2 linked regions of the Caenorhabditis elegans genome follow. The protein of the gene in region 2 purifies or fractionates together with the protein of the main gene of each other region. This does not show direct contact. Each region holds a gene or a part of one and is shown on either strand. Other genes may lie near its edges.

What was found. Proteins that work in one complex are often made in the same cells at the same time.
Region 1: the proteins of scav-6 (region 2) and Y57G7A.3 fractionate together in Caenorhabditis elegans (co-fractionation; one large-scale study listed by BioGRID). This does not show direct contact.

What each region holds. Positions count from the first base shown.
Region 1 is NC_003280.10:1,283,447-1,287,001, reverse strand, and holds Y57G7A.3 (uncharacterized protein), read right to left. Parts: upstream 1,221-3,555; 5' UTR 1,200-1,220; coding exon 1,170-1,199; intron 1,101-1,169; coding exon 1,014-1,100; intron 967-1,013; coding exon 887-966; intron 843-886; coding exon 783-842; intron 739-782; coding exon 669-738; 3' UTR 629-668; downstream 1-628. Other genes in the region: Y57G7A.6 (uncharacterized protein), read left to right, coding at 1,464-1,545, 1,591-1,671, 2,338-3,555.
Region 2 is NC_003279.8:7,352,344-7,357,945, reverse strand, and holds scav-6 (SCAVenger receptor (CD36 family) related), read right to left. Parts: upstream 3,456-5,602; 5' UTR 3,453-3,455; coding exon 3,327-3,452; intron 3,279-3,326; coding exon 3,103-3,278; intron 3,053-3,102; coding exon 2,902-3,052; intron 2,835-2,901; coding exon 2,734-2,834; intron 2,689-2,733; coding exon 2,619-2,688; intron 2,574-2,618; coding exon 2,478-2,573; intron 2,409-2,477; coding exon 2,261-2,408; intron 2,167-2,260; coding exon 2,037-2,166; intron 1,992-2,036; coding exon 1,881-1,991; intron 1,580-1,880; coding exon 1,303-1,579; intron 1,252-1,302; coding exon 1,178-1,251; intron 1,132-1,177; coding exon 819-1,131; 3' UTR 771-818; downstream 1-770. Other genes in the region: F07A5.4 (Olfactomedin-like domain-containing protein), read left to right, coding at 1-8, 55-183, 443-706; spsp-1 (uncharacterized protein), read right to left, coding at 4,302-4,363, 4,410-4,586, 4,632-4,799, 4,849-5,338, 5,404-5,439.

The DNA of each region.
Region 1 (3,555 bases), on a different chromosome or scaffold from region 2:
AGAGATTTGCCGAATTTGCCGAGCTCGGCAAATTTTGAAAAACCAGCAATTGCCGATTTGCCGAGCTCGGCAATTTTTTCCATTTGCCGCACACCCCTGGTTGAGATCTTTTTGCTACCAGTGATGGTTCACGCGGGGATAACTTTGCAGTAGTTAGTCCGATCAAAAACTGTCAACCAACCAAGTTGCCGGAATGGTTACTTGATTTTTGATTTTCATCGATTTTTTTATTTAGAAAAGTGGACAATCGAAAAACGAATTTTTTCAAATTTTACATTTCTTTGGCCAATTTCGAATAACTGCCCATTTTGTCCTTAGATCTGGTGAATAGAAGGGCTGTGCGGCAACCGAGATTTTCGGTAACCGGCAACTTTTCGGCAACCGGCAACCAGGTTTCTAAGTTTTTTTGTTGAAATTATATTTTTGGGCGATCTGGAAAAAAGTGTGGTCGTTTTTTTTCGGCAACCGGCAACTTGGTTGCCGGCCCAGCCCTGGTGCATTTCTTGCGGTTTGCGTTCTTCCGGACCTACAGCAATCCAAGTTCTTAATAATTTTGCATTTTGTCGTAATATCTGGACTTTGCGTATTTGTGGGGCTACAGTAGCCTAGAACACTTTAACAGAAAATCTTCTACCACTGCTGCTTCATTTACATAAAAACAAGTTCAATTACTTTTTCTTTGCCATTTTTGGCTCATCAGCATCGTCCGACTCCTCTGGTGGCAACGATTTCACATTTCTGAAAATTTTAATCAATATCAGTGGCCAATTCTACAAACATACGCAAGAGTGTCTTCAGCTTCATGTCTGCTCCTTTCAATTGGAGTTTTTGCCGGCGGGGTCCTAAAAATACATTTTCTAGTGAATCGCGCAATTTTAAAACTTACTGTGCAGTCGGGCAAGTCTGCGTGGACGATTTCTTAATAGGGTTTGGGCAAACTGGCGCATTTTGGGGGACTAGATCGGCCTGCAACAAGCCATTTTATTAGGTTTTCTTTGGTCCAAGAAACTCACTCTTTCATCGTCTCTAAACTTCTTTTTTGACTGACACTGGGCAATCGAGACGATCAGCAAAAAAAATGGTCCGAAATAGAGGGAAATCTGGAATTTTTCAGTTAAGTGCTGATATATTTAATAAAAATTTCCTGAAAATTAAAAAAAAAGACATACGCTCTTGAAAATAGTTGTAAACGAAAACATGTCCCATCAATTACTGCATACAAGTGAGAATTGAAAAAGGATGACTTTGAATTTTTATCTAATGGGACTTTTATAATCTAACAAAAAACGTCAAAAAACACGTATTTGTTTGTTTTTTTAAACAATTTCAATTTGATTCCAAAATTAAATTTCCACGTGAACTTCCACATAACCCTATAAATGATGACATTAACTTGTTTTTTTTGTTGTTTTGTCCAAAAATCGATCAAATTATTACGTTCTCTTCAAACGGTCATCGCTGGTATGAGAATAAAATCAATTATCAGCATGATAATTCTGCTGAAGATTGCGATTTTCGGAATTGTCACAACTTTCGTGGAATGTGGTAAGTCACTCAGTGTTGTTCATTGCGAAAATAATTCAATTTCAGATAATTTTAATGTAAACAACGTCGAATCGCTGGATCATTCAAGTCGTCGTCAGTTTGCGAGAGCTGTAAGCTCACACAATAGTGAGTTTAAAACGTTTTTTGTTTTGTTTGAGCGCATCTGCCCATCACAGGAACCGCGCAACATTGACATTGCGACTCACCTCTGCCGCACACTCCGCGCGCCCGCCACATCACATTATGAGTACTGCGGCTGACGTTTCCCGGGTCGCGCGCACTATAGCTTGTGTGCAAGAGAAAAATGCGATGGTGTGTGAGCGGCACGGTGGTACAGCAGCTAGATGAGTGCAAACGCGCTCTACCGAACAATCCCAATTTTGGCCGGTTAGGAAATTTTCAACCAAAAAATTTCTCAATAGAACCAGCCCGACGGCGGCGGGAGTCGGGCTGGAAAGTTGCGCTCTTGTGGTACGCTTGCTAGCAAACGATCGGAAATTGCGACAAGGGATGGGCGGCAAACCGACCTTTTCGCCAAATTTAGCGAATTCGGCGAATTCAGCCAATTTTCGACAGAATTTTCGGCTAATTTTCGGCGAATTCGGCGAATTTAGCCGGCAAAGTTTACATTTGTTCCGATCAGCCGCCCATCCCTGCTCGCAATGTGGGAATTATGAGTTATTTTCTTGATACACGCATCGTGTCTGGTCCACGATCGCAAAGCCCCATTGTGCCTTAGGACGCGTTATTCGCACACCGCCAATCAACCCTAAAGAACAATTAACTTTCCAGATGAAGACCCCGCAACTCTGTTCAAAAAACTACCTGCTGTTGCTCGTCTCATCACAGCCATTGCAATAATCAATGGATTCTCCGATGGCTCCATCCCCGCCGATCCAGTCATTGCGGAACTCCTGAACATTGACACTGCCAGTCTTCAACAACTGGAGAAGTTCAACAAGACGTCTGTAGATAAGTTCATGGAAAGCTTAGGGAGCGCTGTAATTGACTCACATCCGGATACATTGAAAGTTGAGCAGGCAATACTTGATATGTCCGAAGTGAAGATGGCATGGAAAAATATTGGAAGCTTAAGCAATATACCGGCAAATGATACGTTACATTCTCTGTTAACTATTGGGTCCTGGGATATATCTGGATTGAAATCATTTGATTTGAAGAGCACATTGGATATGATGGTTTCAGAAAGTTCGACAGTTTCTGATGTTAAGAAACAGCTAGCCGACTTATCTTCCTCTGTCAAGAAACTTGCGTTTCTAAACACAATGAAACCTATTATTGAGTTACTTGAAAAATGGAAGCCGATTAAACCGTTCGCAGATATTATGGAATTGTATCTAGGCGCAGGTGCGTTGTGGTACCCGCCGCCAAAACCTAAATTCACAGAAAACGCTGAAGCTGTAAATAACATATCACTTTATGCCGACAAATTGAATATTTTTGTGATGAAAGAAGTGGTTGGGTCCCCCTATTCGCAGATAATTCGGAATGTCACTGCAGGATTTGCAAACGGAATTTCGGATATTGGAATGCTCACTAGTGATTCTAAAGATCAGTGGCTGGAGAGGCTACTCAAGCCGTCGTTTCCGTTGAGTGGCGTTAGAACGTTGACTAAGCATGCTTCTGAAATGAAAAAACTGGATGATCTATGGAAACCAGTCACCACAGAAAGTCATTTTTACACGATGAGACAAGTCACTGAACTTCAACAACATCTTGGAAACTTATTGCCTCAAAATGGCATTGAAACAAGTTTAACCACCTTGAAGACGTGTCCATCAGAATCTTTTAATGCACAATTGGCAACAAACTTAAAAAATGGAGCTGTTCATGCACTATTGCTCTTGAAACAAGTAAAAGCATTGGAGTCAATTTCAAGTGTTGTCAACAGCAAGGATTTCCAAAAATACTCTAATTCTACTAATTCATCCGACATTAAAATAATGGGCAGATTGTTGCTTCCTTTAACTCAGAAGTTTAAGTTGATCC
Region 2 (5,602 bases):
CTTCTTTGGTACTGACCATAATCGCTATGGGTATTCTTAATTTCAAATGTTTAGAAACCTCTCTACGCAAATTCTACATCTCGGCTTGACGTACAGGCAGAAGAACATGGAATATGGGTGCTCTACAGAAGACAGGACGAGACGGTTCTTACAGTCAGTCGAATAAACTTCCACACCATGCAAGTACGTTATTCTCTGCGTTCTCTATTGTTTCGCGTATTACATCTCCTGTACATCATGCTGTAGTCTTTGAAAAAACGTTTTACATTTTCCTCGGAGTTAAATGAAGAGAATATCTGCAGTGCAAAGAATAATTTTTTTTTAAATTCACAGTTTTACTTCTGTATGATTAGAGCACAACATCAGTTTAAAAAAAAGTTTCTCGGCGAAAGCCATCCGCATAAATGCGCTTCTCTCAAAAAGCAAAACATTGTTATTTCAGATAGTTTCTAATTGGACACTTCCTTCAATTGACACTTCAACAATGTGTAATGCGTTCGTCAGATGTGCAATTTTATACTCTGTAGAGTGTGATGGAACTGTGACACCTGTCTATGACTTTTATAGTCACACATATATTCAAGGAAGAACTACAGAATGGGAAGGACTTTCTCAGCCAATTTGCAATGTACAGTATGACCCTAATAGCAAATCAATTGCTGTTTACGCAAATGCAAAGATCTACAAAGTTCCCGTACAACAATAACTACATTATCATAACTATCAGTAAAGTTTAACAAGCTTCAACTTTTATCAACAATTTTTAGAACACATTAAAATTTATTTTATTGCAAAAGTACATTGAAAAACAAATAAAATCACATTCTCCTTAATCCTCTACTTTCATTTGAATTGGAAGAAGATGTCGAAGATAACCAATTACTTGTCGTTTCTAAGAAACTTGTTTTCAAAGGTCTAATCAAAGACGGTTTTCCTTTTCTTAATTGAAGAAAAACTATAATCGCCACCAGAAGAAGGCCAATTCCAAGAGCCACAAATTGTAGAACCCTCATCAATCGAGGCACTAATACAAATCCGAGCCATACTTCATTAAAAATGAATTGGTGATATTTCGGTGATGTATCCTGCCAGAACAGTGGAATCATAACATTTGGCATATTTTGACTACTTCTGAAAATAGTTTGAATTTTTTAAAATTGAATTGTATTTAACTTACGGAACATCATGAGATCGAATGACTGGCATATTCACTTGAAGACGATTTACAACTTTTAATGTTGTTCCACTATACTAAAAAACAATTATTTCCAAACTTCAATGTCCAATTTAAACTGAACTCACAGGTTCATGGTAATAAATCATTGGCTCATGTAGGCTTTTATTGGGAGCCATTCCAACTACAGTAGTCCGTACTTCATCTGGAGAGAACAGGAAATGAGGAGGAGAATAAACAACGGCAAATGGTGTTGGTTGAAGTCTTCCTGGATAGCATACAAGTGGAAACATTCCAGGTGGTAGAAGGTATGTTCCATTATATAGGGAACCATCACAACATGCATGACAGAAATTAATTGACTTTGAACAATCAATAGAGCCTGATTGATGACATTGACCTTTTCTGAAAATCAAAAATTTATAATTGAAGTTTCTCTTTTTCACTATTATGTATTGTTGAATTAAATCATATTTTCAATCAATCATTTCGATCGATCCCCGCCCCATTGGGTCCCGGATGTCTGTCACTCTCTAACTATCTACACTCTCTGTACCGGTAATACTATTCGTTCAGAAAAAATCTCAATCTTTCAGGAAATCTTAAATCAAATTTCAGACAAAAACTTATCAGCTTTTTTTTCAGAAAAACTCCAAAATTTTTGCTGCAAATTAAGAGAGTAAAAATTATTCGAAAAAAAACTTACGGTGGACATTTTGGCCAGTCAGGAAAATAGTTTCTCTTTTCAATATTTCGATAACGGAAGCCCACATTGTTATCAGATGTGGTGTCCCATTCGTCGTACCCAATATGATAACTGTGAAAAGAGGATTATTTATTTGTTTTGTGACAACTAACACACCCAATTGTTGGAATTGACTCAATCGTTTCCCTCTGGTAAAAGGTTTTTGTGAATGATCGGCACATGAATGAAAAGAACATATCAGCAGTTGATGACTCGTCCAAGTGCATTTGAGTGAAACTTCCAGAATCTTAAAATACTTTCCTTTTGAATGTGTTTAAAATAAATTGCATTAAAGTTCAATAAATTCAATTCAATTCAATGCGAGATAATGGTCAACTCACCACTTCCACGAATACTTCTAGCCTTTGGAGTAGTCCACCATTCCCCAGGAAGTTCTGTAATTCCAGCCCATCGCTGAACATTTCCTATTTGGTTTATATCTTTCTTTCCCGTTTCAATCCAATATTCCTCATCTCTTGAGTTGTTATACTGAAGATATATTCTCAATTCGAAATATAGTTCCCGATCAGAAATTAGCTTTCAAAAGAATCTACAAACCCCTTGAAAATATCCAAATTTCGGCATAGCTGGAATCGGAATTGGAACGATACTTCCACCATCTCCTTTGAATATTCCTGATAAAACTGTCACGAACTAAAAATTAGATTTACAGCTACTTTTTTTAAGTTAAAAAGTTACCCCTGAATGAGCAGCGGACAGTAAAGCATCCTCGTAACCGTCAAACAGAACTTCACGAACTTTATGAGAACTGCAAACTTATTTTAAAATAAGTTAAATTCGGTGAAAAACTTACACAAATGGATATTCACCAAGAATTGTTAAAGCCACTGCAATAATTGTTCTTCCCGTTTTTGTGATTTGGAATTGTGGATCTAACATTGAAGCAACAGCCCCCTGAAAACAGACATGAAATCAAGTTGAGGCGCCACGTGCACTCGCCCGCTAATCTATCAAAACTCACCAATCCTGGTGGATTCGGAAAAACAATATTTCTGTCCCAGTCACAATCTTCACACGAATAATCTTTTGATAAAATATACTTTTTGTAATTTTGATAAAACATTTGTGATTTATCATCACTGAATTCCAGATATTTTTTCTGCTCACTTTCCCTTCAAATTCGGAATTTAATTAACATATCTATGAGGAAAATTCAACTTACATTACAGAAAATGGACCAATTTCTACCAAATTTGGTGCAGCAGAATAGTATTTCACTTCGTCTGGATTTGTAACATTAAAAAAGTAGAATTTCATTATATTATCCACTTGAGGACTTGTATATTGAAATGCAGAATATCCTAGACTGGTATCAGAATTTTCAGTTAGTTGTAGGTTCTGATATCATGCAAGTTTAGGAATTAACTTCACTTTTCACGGGAATACCTTTATGACCAGAGTACTGTAAATTGAAGAGAATGCCGCCCAAGTAACAATTCCAAACACAATAAACACAATTGCAATAACAACTAAGAATACATCTAGTTTATTTATCCGTATCCGAAAACCCATTTTCTGAAAAAAAAAAAGAAACATATAAACCAATTGAAATTATCAAAAATCGATTTAAAACAGAGTCAGAAAGCATGTAAATATGCTGTCTATATGGTTTACGTGGCTTATCAGACGAATTCTTTATTATCAGCAGCTAACTATATTGTCGTACATTGAAATGCCCTGGTTATCAATGGCAGAAAACACGTTAGATGCAGCTTCAGGTGAATGCTCAAAGAGTTTGCACTGATCGTATGGGTCGAACTATACTCCAGAGATTCGTGGAGATTTATTTTTTTTTTTAATGATTCATAAAAATTGATGGTTAAGAACCTATCGTAGCTACAATAGAAATTCTACACGGTCGAGGCGAAGAGTGGGCGTCAGGGGGAGTTTGTCAGTATAAACTTTAGATGTAGTAAAAATGTTTAAATGGTTAAACAAAACAGTTTGAAATTTGAAAATTGTTCTAACTATCAATCAAAGTTTTGAGTTGATTTCCCAATTTTACTGAACTATTAAAAGTGTACAAAATCTTCAGATGTTTTGAAAAACTGTTCACACCATTGAAATAATTTCGGACATTTCCTACTTGCTGTAATTCATTGTTATTTGTTTTAAAAAAATTAAAATTATAAGCTGTTACCTCTCTAAATTTGAAAACTTAGTTTTAAAATTATCAACTAGCTCTAGCGGTTCTATCGTTCATATTTTTAAAAGCGTCTTCAGGGCGAAAGGAATCGATTTTTTAGAACGTCAACGGCCAATGGGACCAAATAAAGAATTAATCTCAAATTACTTAAACATATTCAAATCATCATTTTATTCTCTAGAAAATCAATCAGGTGATATCATTACAGAGATCAATCATTTTTCAACACTATGTGCACGATCCTTCCACAAATCATTGTACTGGCGACCAGTGTCAACTGCAAAAAAAAATAGTTTTTTATTACAATGACTCAAAAATCGTACTCATGGCATCCGATACTGTCTCTCCAAGCTCACGAATCGATGAATCGACATCTCCGGATGAAGATTTTCTAGCTCTTTTCGAAAAAGAAGATCCCTCATCAGTGAAACGAACACTTTTCGAGTTAACGGAAGAAATAGATTCACGACGCAAAGGACGTTTTCGTGGGCTATTGATACCTTGAAATGAGTAAATGAGTTAAAGGTGATTCAAGATAAAACTACCTGGAGTATGCTTCTTCATCGGTGTTGGTGGTGGAACAGGTTTGAATCTTCCACGAAGATCTGGATGAGCATTCATCAGAGAGAGAGCAACAAATGGAATTCCGTCAACCAAAAGCTCAAAAGCTTCAAATTCTGGATCTTGTGCGTATTCAGCAACAAATCCACGAACTGAAATATGATCAATTATGTGAACTTTCAAAACAATCTCAGGGCTCACCTTGATTACGAGCAGCTGGATTCTTGATAATTGCAAACTTTTGAACTGGAGGAATATGCTCCTTCTTTGGTAAAGATTTTCTCGAAAGAGATCTTCTTTTTTTCATCGGAGATTTCTTCAGAATGCTTTTACGACTGGAACCTGGTGATTTGTTGGATCTATTGCGTCGACTCTCAATTTCAGCTTGCAAAAGTCTTCTTCTAGCACTTTGCGAAATCTTGTTACGGTTCCCAGAAGTGTTTCCAATTTTCGATCTTTTGCTTGAAATAGATCTTTCAGATCCTGTTCCCGAGAATCCAGACGACGAGCTACGAGGAAGCTTGCTTTTAATTCTTGGTCTTGATTTACTGGAACTAGTAGTTGAAAGGAACGAATCAAGACGAGAACGACGGCTTGATGATGGAGTAGTTCCAGTTGACACGAATGTAGAATCAGATTCTCCATCATAAGAACTACCAACTGAAGAGAGAAGTGATGAGAGAGTATCTGCCTGTAATATTTATAATTTTCAAAGTTGTTAGAAAGTTTCATGCCCGGACAGAAAAAACTACTTACCTCATTGTGGCTATTGTTCGAGTTAGACTTGGCCATCGATGGTTGTTGTCTATTGAATCGAAATATTCGAGCTTGCAAAAAGTTTTAGTTTCGAGTACTGATTTTCTTTTGTTTTTCGATTCGTTTTCCTCATCGATATTCCAAAAAGATAATTTCAAAGGCCAAGGTCACGAAAATATTATTTCTAAATAACTTTTTT